Drosophila melanogaster: one gene and its partners. The protein of the gene in region 1 purifies or fractionates together with the protein of each later gene. This does not show direct contact. Each region holds a gene or a part of one and is shown in the gene's direction. Other genes may lie near its edges. The genes, in order: Naa20A, CG15084 and Dera.

Evidence for each region.
Region 2: the proteins of Naa20A (region 1) and CG15084 purify together in Drosophila melanogaster (affinity purification with mass spectrometry, with the first as the bait; one large-scale study listed by BioGRID). This does not show direct contact.
Region 3: the proteins of Naa20A (region 1) and Dera purify together in Drosophila melanogaster (affinity purification with mass spectrometry, with the first as the bait; one large-scale study listed by BioGRID). This does not show direct contact.

What each region holds. Positions count from the first base shown.
Region 1 is NC_004354.4:19,621,403-19,625,230, reverse strand, and holds Naa20A (N(alpha)-acetyltransferase 20 A), read left to right. Parts: upstream 1-2,156; 5' UTR 2,157-2,265; coding exon 2,266-2,318; intron 2,319-2,386; coding exon 2,387-2,502; intron 2,503-2,564; coding exon 2,565-2,694; intron 2,695-2,759; coding exon 2,760-2,896; intron 2,897-2,966; coding exon 2,967-3,028; coding exon of another isoform or gene 3,029-3,058; exon of another isoform or gene 3,059-3,463; intron 3,464-3,566; exon of another isoform or gene 3,567-3,580; coding exon 3,581-3,625; 3' UTR 3,626-3,780; downstream 3,781-3,828. Other genes in the region: MKP-4 (MAPK phosphatase 4), read right to left, coding at 600-703, 769-1,451, 1,517-1,616, 1,683-1,814, 1,877-2,021.
Region 2 is NT_033778.4:18,848,844-18,852,443, forward strand, and holds CG15084 (uncharacterized protein), read left to right. Parts: upstream 1-2,000; 5' UTR 2,001-2,092; coding exon 2,093-3,043; 3' UTR 3,044-3,113; downstream 3,114-3,600. Other genes in the region: MetRS (Methionyl-tRNA synthetase), read right to left, coding at 1-202, 259-363, 422-1,257, 1,336-1,457, 1,545-1,647; CG18190 (uncharacterized protein), read right to left, coding at 3,114-3,600.
Region 3 is NT_033778.4:12,423,307-12,427,134, forward strand, and holds Dera (Deoxyribose-phosphate aldolase), read left to right. Parts: upstream 1-2,176; 5' UTR 2,177-2,404; coding exon 2,405-2,456; intron 2,457-2,509; coding exon 2,510-3,093; intron 3,094-3,155; coding exon 3,156-3,563; 3' UTR 3,564-3,669; downstream 3,670-3,828. Other genes in the region: CG8520 (uncharacterized protein), read left to right, coding at 404-802, 860-1,462, 1,517-1,768, 1,823-1,945; CG13154 (uncharacterized protein), read right to left, coding at 3,672-3,828.

The sequences.
Region 1 (3,828 bases):
TAACTATATAAAATGAAACAATATACCATATACCACTACTGGAAACAATCAACGTATCTCTTTCAGCTTTTGGGGATTCACATATCAATGTTGCGATCGGATGAGATACTCTGTGATTATTTCTTATTCTTAAGAATTGAGTAAATATTTACTGACTGACCAAATGGAATCCGAAGTTAGTTTGTGATTAAATTACGTTTGCTTCGCGCGGAAGTTTTGATATTGTAAACCTGGCAATCAGTTTATATCCGATACGAGATCGGATTCCCAAGAGGGAACTAACTAAGCTAACTGCTTGCGTTTCAAAAATCTCAGCTTGGTGGAGGAGCTATTCAGCAATGGGACCAATTAACTTATGTTTCAACAGCGTAACCGAAGCCCAACTTCTCCAATGACCCATAGAAACATAACTTAATGCCCATATATGTATATATGTAGGACATCAATGTTGGCCAGCACTGATAAGCACTGATCAATCAATCCAAGCCTCCATTGCTTTTTGTTTAGGTGGGCGATTGCCGTTCTTTGCCAGCCGACAAGGGAGTCCAATTGTCCCGTCTCTGATGATGCCATCTCGCTCTATTTCCAGCACGCTGCACCTAAACCGTGGTCTGCACGTTCTGCACGGCCTTCGAGAGCTCCACCTTGGAAGGTATCAGATAAAATGCAGGCGTCATCGTCTCCCCGCACGGACACTTGCAGGCTGCAATAAATTAGGAGGAATGAGTGGGGGGCGGGATTATCGGCTGGTGGAGCAGCATAGCCAACCGTTGATCCAGCTAAAGTTTCCCAATTTCTGCTCGCACTTGGGACAGTACAGGCGGCCCTGGGTGTTCAGCATGATGCGGTGCATCCAGGCGATGGGCTCCACAAACAGTATGCTGCGGCAATAGTTTGGCGTGCTTTCGTGGCCGGGTGAACCGAGTGATGACTGGCGGATGCGCTCGGACAGCTGCTCCAGCATGCGAGCACCATGATGATTTTCGGCCTGATCATGTGACTGAGCCGGCAGCTTAGCTGCAGCGACTTCTTCTTTCTCCTTGGGTACCACCTCCTGCGGCGGCCTGTCACGCGGCTTGTGCTCCAGTACATGCGACTTGGAGGCGAGGACGCGGCGGCAACGACGACAGCGGAACACTATGGGCTCCGGGTTCTCGCGCGTTATATCTGGATCCGGACGGACCACGCTGTGGAAGCTTTGCGGCAGGATCTTGGCCTTGCGCATCTGCTCGCCAGCCAGGCGCAGGCGATGGATCTTGTAGCGCTGGCAGTTGGGGTCAATCTTGCAGCCCATGCGCCGGAAGAGCTTTAGTTGGCTGACAAAGCCAGCGTTTGGCTGGACGAAGCGCCGTTTGGCCTTGACCAGCTCGTAGGCGGGCAGGAAGTCCAGATTGTGTCGCTTCATCATGTAAGCGATCACAGTGGATGAGCTGCGACTGACGCCGAAGTAGCTGTTGGAAGGCACAAAGAGTCAGTGGCCAAATCGTGGGCCGGTCAGCCTAGGTAAGATGCTCACCAGTGCACAAGGACATTGCCCTGCTGGGCCAGGGCCGAGCTGATAAAGTCAACGCAGCCCTCCAGATGCTGCAGAATATCTTCGCGCGGCATGTCGGCAACTGAAACAGGGATTAACGCCAGTGAAGTTGTTGCACATTCACGAAGCTACCGATCTGTGTGCTTACTCTGTATATATTTGGTGGTCAGAAAGCTGGCCTCCAGAATGTGCTGCGGCAGCGGGACCGAATCCAGCGTGAGGATGTGGGTGATCTTGAAGGAGCGCAGCGTCTCCATGTGCGTCGCCGCGGTCAGGTTGCCTGGTGGTGTAAGGAAGGGTTGAGAAATGCATCGATCACAAGGATTAGAGCTATATGCTTACCTAGAAACAGGCCTGTGTCCACCTCGTCGATGCTGACCGGTCCGCCGTCGAAGTCCTCGCGCGTCAGCACCCCGGAGTCCTGGGCCTTGCCACCCCCCGCGGAGGACGAAGGCCACGCCTGCCGTTGAGACTGAGACTGTTCCATGGCCAGGCAACAGATACCAGCTGGAGGCAGAGGAAGAAGAAGAGCGAGGACAGGACCTAGCGTGGAAATGGAAGTGCTAGTAGTGTGACCGCGGCTGCATTGCGCGGTAACCGATTTGTGGGAAAGCTCGCTTCCAGGCTATCGATAACTTGCCATCGACCGCGGCGCATCTCTATTGCCGGCGAGTATAGCAATTTTATAGGAGCAATAAAAAGGATCGGATTAGCCGAGATTAAGTGATAAGATGACCACGTTGCGACCCTTCACCTGCGACGACCTCTTTAAGTTCAACAATGTGTGAGTACAGTGGATATCCACATGCGCATATCCGAGGCTAATACCAATACCGCCGTGTGCTCCGCCAGAAACTTTGACCCACTTACGGAGACCTACGGGCTGTCCTTCTACACCCAGTACCTGGCCAAGTGGCCGGAGTACTTTCAGCTTGCGGAGTCGCCCAGCGGACAAATAATGGGCTACAGTAAGTACTGCATTTCACTGTGTGCACGAGTTCCCCTATCAAGTGTGCTCTACATTCTCTAGTCATGGGCAAGGTGGAGGGACACCTGGACAACTGGCACGGACACGTGACTGCGCTGACCGTCTCGCCCGACTACCGGCGCCTTGGTCTGGCTGCGCTGCTCATGAGTTTCCTGGAGGACATTTCGGAGAAGTAATTCCAGCCCCAATTCGTTGGATATCAATACAGACTAAACGACTACTTTTTCTCGCCCCCAGAAAGCGAGCATACTTTGTGGATCTTTTTGTGAGGAAGAGCAACCAGGTGGCAATAAACATGTACACGAACCTTGGCTACATCATATACCGCACCATACTTGAGTACTACTCCGGCGACCAGGACGAGGATGCGTACGGTGAGAGCGCACAGAATTTGCATTGACTTCTAAGAGGCGCCTAACAATCGATGCTTTACCCACTTTGCAGACATGAGAAAGGCCTTATCCAGGGACGTCAACAAAAAGTCGGTCATACCGTACACGCAGCCTGTACGACTGGAACATATAGATATGAATTGATACGATATCAACCCAGTAGCGCCCGAAAACGCATTTATGTCTAACTAATCCCGATCCACCATTTGAAATGGGCGCGAGCGCATCACTTCGCAGCCCATTGAATTCTAGTTAATTTAGCAATGTAAATAACCCATAATCCCGTGATCTGCCCGGTGATAACATGCGATTCGATTATGACCGGATTCCCATCCCGCTTGCGAACCAATCCCCCGGCGCCAGTATTTGCGTGCATTATTTCCCAACCGAAACTAAGCCTGTAATTAAGTTACATGACCGCTCCGTTACCAAATTCAGCACAAATTCTCGATAATTCTATTGACTTTGAAATTATTTAAAGATTTCGTAAGCCGATGCGTAAATAACCACAAACACAAAGATTGTTCCACAGTTCTGAAGGTAAATAACGTAAGCAACTTGATTACTTCATCATCGTAAATGACAACCAGTATCTAACGCCAACGCTATGACCACCCATCTAGCCCGCACACGATCCTCTGACCATATCCAGTTTTTTTTTTGCAGATCACAATGCGCGAGCTGCGCAGACAAATGCGACACGATCACTAAGTGGAACGATTCGCGGCGGATGTGGGCATAGCCACAGCCATCGCCATCGCCATCGCCATGTGCTTTATCGACCGATTCCCATTTACTAATGTGCTGCTGCATAGAAAACCATTTTGAGAATAAAAAGAAAATAAACCCCCTGGCATATAAAGTTCAATCTGTATTTGATTGATTGATTGGAGGAAAGCTGACTTTCAACACAC
Region 2 (3,600 bases), on another chromosome or scaffold:
CCACTCCTTGAGTTGTGGTTCCGCCTTTGGCAAATCGATGAACAACTGATCGGAGGAACGCAGGACTGGGGCACTGTTGCACACCTTACATCTGGGACGGATCAGCTCAGTGGCGTTGACCAACTTTCCGCACTTGTCGCACTGATCACCGCGGGCATCTTCATAGCCGCAACCAGGATGCGGGCAAGTACCCTCGACAAAACTATAGCAGAATAATGGGTAAGTTGGAGCTTGAAATAGTGTACCAGAAATACCCACCGATCAGCCAGAAAACGATCACACTTTTGGCAAAGCAACTGCTCCACGCTCTCTGTGATGATATAGCCAGCTTTGAGGACATCCTTAAATGCCTCCTGGACAATGCTGTAAAAAACAAGCGTTTTTTGATAAGGATATCATTGCTTAAGCAGCCAAAACTTACTCTGTTTGCTCTTGGGTTGTGGTGCGTCCAAAGTAATCAAAGCCAATGCCGAACCAGCGGTAAATGGCGTTGTGCAGTTCGAAGTACTTGTCGCAGATCTCACGGGGAGTAAGGTTCTCTGCCAGTGCCTTGTTCTCGGTGGCCGTACCGTACTCATCCGTGCCGCAAATCAAGAGTGTGTTGTAGCCAGCAGAACGCGAGTAACGAGCATAGATATCCGCAGAGAGAACACAACCAATGATGTTGCCCAAATGTGGCACATTGTTGACATAGGGAAGCGCCGAGGTGATGAGCACGTTACGCTCACCGGGCTTGGGAAGAACAGTTCGCTCCTCCTTGATTTCCTTTGGAGCTGTGTAGGTAAAGGCAGCCTTCGCCGCGCTTATTTCCTCATTCGTAACAGTATCCGCCACCGTTGGCGTGGTATCCACAAGAAGTTTGCTTGCATCCGCCAGGCTGAGACGTTTTAATGGTACATGATGCAAACCTCCATAGCGATTTGACTGCTGCAGAGCATTAAAGCTTAGATCCTTTAGTGGCTGTTCGGCAAGAACTTCCTGAACTTCGGGAAGCGCTTTCACCCTGCCATACCAATCCCTCAAGTTGTCCACGTTCTGTGCTCCCTTGAGAGTGCCATCGGGAGCAAGGAGCGACCAAATGGCGATGTCGGCGGCACTGGGTTTGTCGCCAGCCAGGTAGGGGGTAGCTTTCAGTTTGTCATCCAGCTTCTTGACCAGAGCATTCAGCACGGGCAGCGCGTTTGCATCTGCCTTGTGGCCCACAGCCATGTGGTGGGCCAAAGCCGGGGCCAGCAACGTGGCAGACCATTCCAGCCACTAGGGAGAGAGCACATACGGGAATTAGTTTAACCTTCAGGGGTCAATGGGCCAATAAGTAATTTTCGGAACCCATACCTCATCGCGCTGCTGCCCCTTGCCCACGAAAAGGTACTTGGCAATGGCCGCCGGCGAGAACAAACGCAATCCGTTGTCCAGCTCCAAAGTGGGCAGCACCAGCAAGTCCTTGTACTTAGCGTCTGCAATTAACAATAGTTATTGCATCAGAAATGAGTCATTTTCAGAGCATTCCCCAGAATTCGAAGGGAATCCGTGGCAGAACTCACCATTTAGGTTAACCAACTGCACCTGCACCGGCTGCTTGGCAAATTTGGCGAGCATTAGCAGCTGCAGTCCCAGCGGGTTGCCATCATTCGTGTAGATTATCATTTTGCCTGGATCGGACGCTAATTCTAATTCAATTTACGTGGCAAAAAGGGTTAAAAATCCAACCAAAGTTTTGACGATGCCCACGAGAAACTATTATTTTGGTGATGGGACAGATGGAAAAGCTGTCACGCCGTCGGTGATGTTATCGATTACTTATTTATTTTATATGTCAAATAATTTGAAATAAACAGTTGGCATTAAAGTAACAGGTAATATAGTAGGTCATATTTATTACATATTAATTGTAATATGACTAATAATAACAAGACTAATTCATATATGATTTTCTGGCTATTTTTAGCGTTTTCCGCACCACCGATAATGTCATCACCAGCGACCCGAAACAGCTGATTTAAAAAAAGCAGAAATGTTTATTTACATTTGACAGCAAAAGATTGAGCTTGTAATTAGTTTAAATATTTAAGTAATCCTATCCACTTAAAAAATGGGTGAACGCAAGGGACAGAACAAGTACTATCCGCCCGACTATGATCCGAAGAAGGGCGGTCTCAACAAGTTCCAGGGAACCCACGCCCTGCGGGAACGGGCCCGCAAGATTCACCTGGGAATCATCATCATCCGCTTTGAGATGCCCTACAATATCTGGTGTGATGGATGCAAGAACCACATCGGCATGGGCGTGCGCTACAATGCGGAGAAGACCAAGGTGGGCATGTACTACACTACGCCGGTTTTTAAGTTCCGGATGAAGTGCCACTTGTGCGACAACCACTTTGAGATCCAGACGGATCCCGGCAATTTGGACTATGTTATACTTTCGGGGGCTAGACGGCAGGAGAACCGCTGGGATCCCTTGCAGAACGAACAAGTTGTACCGGAAACCAAGGAGGTACAAAAGCGTCTCTTCGACGATGCCATGTACAAGTTGGAGCATCAAGCCAAGGATGCTAAGGCAGGGGCAGATGCCAGGCCCGTGCTCCAGAAACTAGTGGAGCGCAACATGAGCGTCTGGGATGACAGCTATATGGCCAATAGTCGCCTACGCGCCGAGTTTCGCCAGCAGAAGAAAGAGATCAATGGTCAGCAGGAGCTGGATCGACAGTTGTTGGCCAAGAGCAGCTTGGACATTGCTCTCCTTCCGGAGACCACACAAGATCGCGAAATGGCAGCCCTGATGAAGTTGCAGACGAAGTCAGCTCTGGAACGGGAATCCGAGCAGCGGTTGGAGCTGCTTATGCGTCCAGCGCTTCCCGGAGCAACAGTCACCACATTTGGTGGACTCAAGCGACAAAAGGTTCTGAATACCCAGCTCCAAGTACAGGATCTTGGCATACGGCGTAAAAAGTTGGAAGAAACTACATCTTCAGCCACGAACGAAAAACCCATAAGCTTAGTGGGGGATTACTCCTCCTCAGACAATGATTCCAACGGCTGATTTTATAATGCTTTCTTTATAAATAATTAAATGATTGTATAAAACAAAATAAGTACAAATAAAAAGAATTCTAATATAATCCGTCATTGGGATCCGCGTGTTCGGCGCCTTCATCACCATTATCCTCATTAACCTCGACGGGTTCCTCGTTGATTTCACCATCTATCGTTTTGTAGAGCACCGCTTGAATGCGTTTGCACAACTCAACTAGCTGGTTGTTGTTGATCATGTCGTTGACCAAATCCTCGACCAGGCGCAGTTTGTTGTAGATCTGATTGCTGGCCTCCATGATGTCCTCCCGCTTCAGGCTTAGGTTCTTCATTTCATCAATCAGCTCTTTGAGCGCATCATCATTGGCGTTGACTGGTGATCGCTCCTTGGCGAATTGGCGCGGCTTTATGGGCTTTGCCAACGGCGCATTGGCCAGCGACTTAATGTTCTCCAAGCCCGGAGCCTGCGAGTCGAAGAACTTCTTGAACCACTGCAGGAACTCAAAGTTGTCCTGGAAGCGACCCTTGATCAGTCGATCGATTGGTACCGTTTTGTCCAGCTTCAAG
Region 3 (3,828 bases), on another chromosome or scaffold:
TATTAGAAAACAATCTAAAATTTTTTCAAAGGCTTAAGAAATATTTTTGCTCTGTGGAATTAAATTTTATTCTATTGATTCGAAAATCTTTCAAAAAACCGTTTTAAAATAAGCCCTAAAGTATTAATTTCTTACTGTCCATTTTTTGTTAGCAAATTTTAGCAATTTTAAATTTTAAAATGCGGTTGCTCAAAATAATCTGGCAGCTCTTGCAACCTTATGGCATCCGTGCGAACAGCTGTCAGATCAGCTGTTGTTGTTTCCAGCCCTGGTTTGGGAAAATTTCACGGCCAACAACCGAAATTCGCGGTCAAAATTCGCGGAAGTGAGGTCTCTAGTTTTATGTAATGTCTAGATGACGCGGATTTAGCTCCTAGTTAAGCGCTAATTGTGGCACTCTGCTATGTTCACCTACCAACTGGGGCTTGTGGTCCGCTGTGCGCGGCAGAAGCCGCTGCTCCTATGGGCGCCCGCCTGCCACATGAGCGGTCTCAGTCCGCTGAAGGAATATGAGAAGCGTGTTAGTTCTGGCCAACTGATGACCGACAACAGGCAGCTGCAGACGATGAAGGAGCTGGATGCGCTGTACCACAAGATTCAGGGGTATAAACCCAGCTACAGGGCGGGCGGTGGCGGCGGAGGATTCTTCAGTTCAATCTTTGGTAGGAAATCTTCCACCGAAGATGACGATCAGGATGATCCTAACGCTGGCAGTCACGCTCCTCAGGGTCTGTACCTGTACGGCAGCGTGGGTGTGGGCAAGACCACTCTGATGGACCTGTTCTTCGACTGCTGTACCCAAGTAAGTGATGAATGAGTATTTCTCGAGGCCCATATTCACATGACTTGTGACTTTCAGATTCATCGAAAGCAGCGCGTCCATTTTACTTCGTTCATGAACACCGTGCACACCCGCATCCACGAGGCCAAGCAGAGACAAGGACCTGTTGACCGTGCCTTTAATTCTGAAAAACCAGCACCATTTGATCCCACAAAACCGGTTGCTGACCTGATTGCCAGTGAGTCCTGGTTGATTTGCTTCGATGAATTTCAGGTGACGGACATAGCCGACGCCATGGTGCTAAAGAGATTGTTTACGCACCTTTTCCGCCATGGCATTGTGGTTGTGGCCACCAGCAATCGGCATCCAGAGGATCTGTACAAGAACGGACTGCAGCGCACGAACTTTCTGCCCTTCATTGCGTTACTTCAGCGTCGCTGTAAGGTGTCCCAGTTGGATTCTATTGACTACCGACGTATAGCCCAATCTGGTGACACCAACTACTTCGTCAAAGGCCAAACGGATGCGGACGGCAGTATGAATCGCATGTTCAAGATCCTGTGCGCCGAAGAAAACGATATTATCCGGCCGCGAACCCTGACTCATTTCGGAAGAGATCTGACCTTCAATCGCACGTGTGGCCAGGTACTGGACAGCACCTTCTCGGAACTCTGTGATCGCGTAAGCAAAGTATTAATACATAATCTTACCCATACTCAACATATTCCGCATTAGCCTTTGGCTGGCAGTGATTTCTTACAGATATCGCAATTCTTTCACACCGTCCTCATCCGAGATGTGCCCCAGCTGACCCTTGATGTGAAGGCACAGATGCGACGATTTATCACGCTCATAGATACCCTTTACAATAACCGAGTGCGTGTGGTGATATCATCCGACGTTGCGCTGGAAAACTTGTTCAGCTTTACTGGAGGTTCCAAAACTCTGTCCGATTCTGAGCGAACCCTAATGGACGATCTAAATATAGTAAGTTAGTAACTCATTCTTCTACCATTAAAATCAACACGTTTTTGTTTACAGAAAGAATCCAAAGCCAGTTTTTTCACCGGCGAGGAAGAGCTGTTCGCCTTTGATCGCACACTATCTCGACTCTATGAAATGCAGAAGAGGGAGTACTGGGAGCAGTGGGCCAAACATCGATGAAAACCCCTTGTCACAAAGCAGTAGTTCAATTAGCGCTATAAAAATTACATGTTTTCTACCTCGCTGACGCGGTATTTTAAAATTCACAATATCTTGTACTTACAAATTTCATATCGAAAATGCAATATTAAAATTAGGTGTATTTCGCAAGTATTAAGACAATAAAAAATAGACAAAGTTACCTAAGCGATTGGCTTTATTAAACAGCAAGCTGTGGAGTTTTACATAACAAATTTACTTATTGTTAATATCGGTGATCTTTTAACGGAATCCATCTCATAAATTATCAGTTAATGCGAACGGTCTGGCAACGTCGTCATCAGCTGTCCAACAAGCAAATTGATAAGACTCTCCATGTTCTTCGGTTGAGGTTGAGTAGAAGATTAGAGGTCAAGATCGGCGATCGAACGATTTTATCTTCAAGTGGAATTTAGTCAGCTAAATTTTCGTTTGACAGCAATGAGCAGCATGGATGTGAAGGAATTGGAAGTAAACAAAACCCTGCCCTATGGTAAGAATTCGCACAATAGTACGAATTTAAATATATACATATATATTTCGCAGATCCCTCCCTGCTTAAGGTAAACATCTCGCTGCGGCAGGTCGAGGAGATCGCTTTGACGGTGTCCCAGCGATGCCATGTCACCGGAGCCAACGAAATCGCCTGGGCGCTGAGGGCTCTGATGCTGACAGATCTTACCACCTTGGCGGGCGATGATACGGCTGCCAATGTGCGGAGACTATGCCTACGCGCCTGCTATCCCTTCGAGCCGCAGTTCTTTGACAAGTTCTTCGACCGGGCTCTCATCCCAGAGATGCACACGGCCGCCGTTTGCGTTTATCCCGCCAGGGTAAAGGACGCCTATTTAGCTATCCAACAGTACGACAAACTGGATAAGGTGGCTATTGCAGCGGTGGCCACGGGATTTCCCACGGGCCAGTACGGCCTGCAGACCCGCCTGCAGGAGATCAGCCACGCCATTCTTGCTGGAGCCACAGAGATCGACATTGTGATCAATCGCCAGTTGGCCCTCGTTGGCGACTGGGAGGCCATGTACAACGAGGTGGTCCTTATGCGCAGTGCCTGTGGACAAAGGGCTCACCTAAAAACAATTCTGGCCATCGGGGAGCTGGGCACCATGGATAATGTGAGATCAATATCGCCTAATCCCTATACTAAAATACCATTCAAATCCATTAATTTCTTTAGGTTTACAAAGCAGCCATGGTTTGCATGATGGCCGGAGCGGATTTTATCAAGACCTCAACGGGAAAGGAGACAGTCAACGCCACCCTGCCCGTTGGCCTGGTCATGATATTTGCCATTCAGGAATTCAAACGACGCACGTGCCAGATTGTGGGCCTTAAGCCAGCCGGAGGAGTAAAGACTGTACGAGATGCGATCGCCTGGATGACGTTGGTCAACGAAACTCTTGGCATCCGCTGGTTGCGTCCCGAGAGGTTCCGTTTCGGAGCCTCCGGATTGCTGGACGACATTGAACGCGTTGTGCGTCAGGGTGTCAAAAAACTCGAGGAGGATGAGGCTCAGAAAAATGTGCCCGTGTCTCGCGAGGCTGCTGCTGCCGAGACCTTCTGCAAGGAGCTGCGGAAGAAGTAGGAGGAGGCCAACTGGTCGAATCCGTATTCTGGACTTTACTCACTCTAAGTGCATTTATTGTAGCTTTTTTATACAACTGACTAAAACCTATAGCAAAAAAAACCGCATCTATGTTCGACGTTCTTCCTGGACGGGAGACTTGAAGTTAAAGGCTAACTGCGCAGGAGCCGCCATCAAATCTTCCTCGGCCTGCTCTTCGCCATGCTGCAAGAGCTCTGTGGGCGCAGCTGGCTCCTTGTGGGGCTGATTATCCGGAATCTTTACC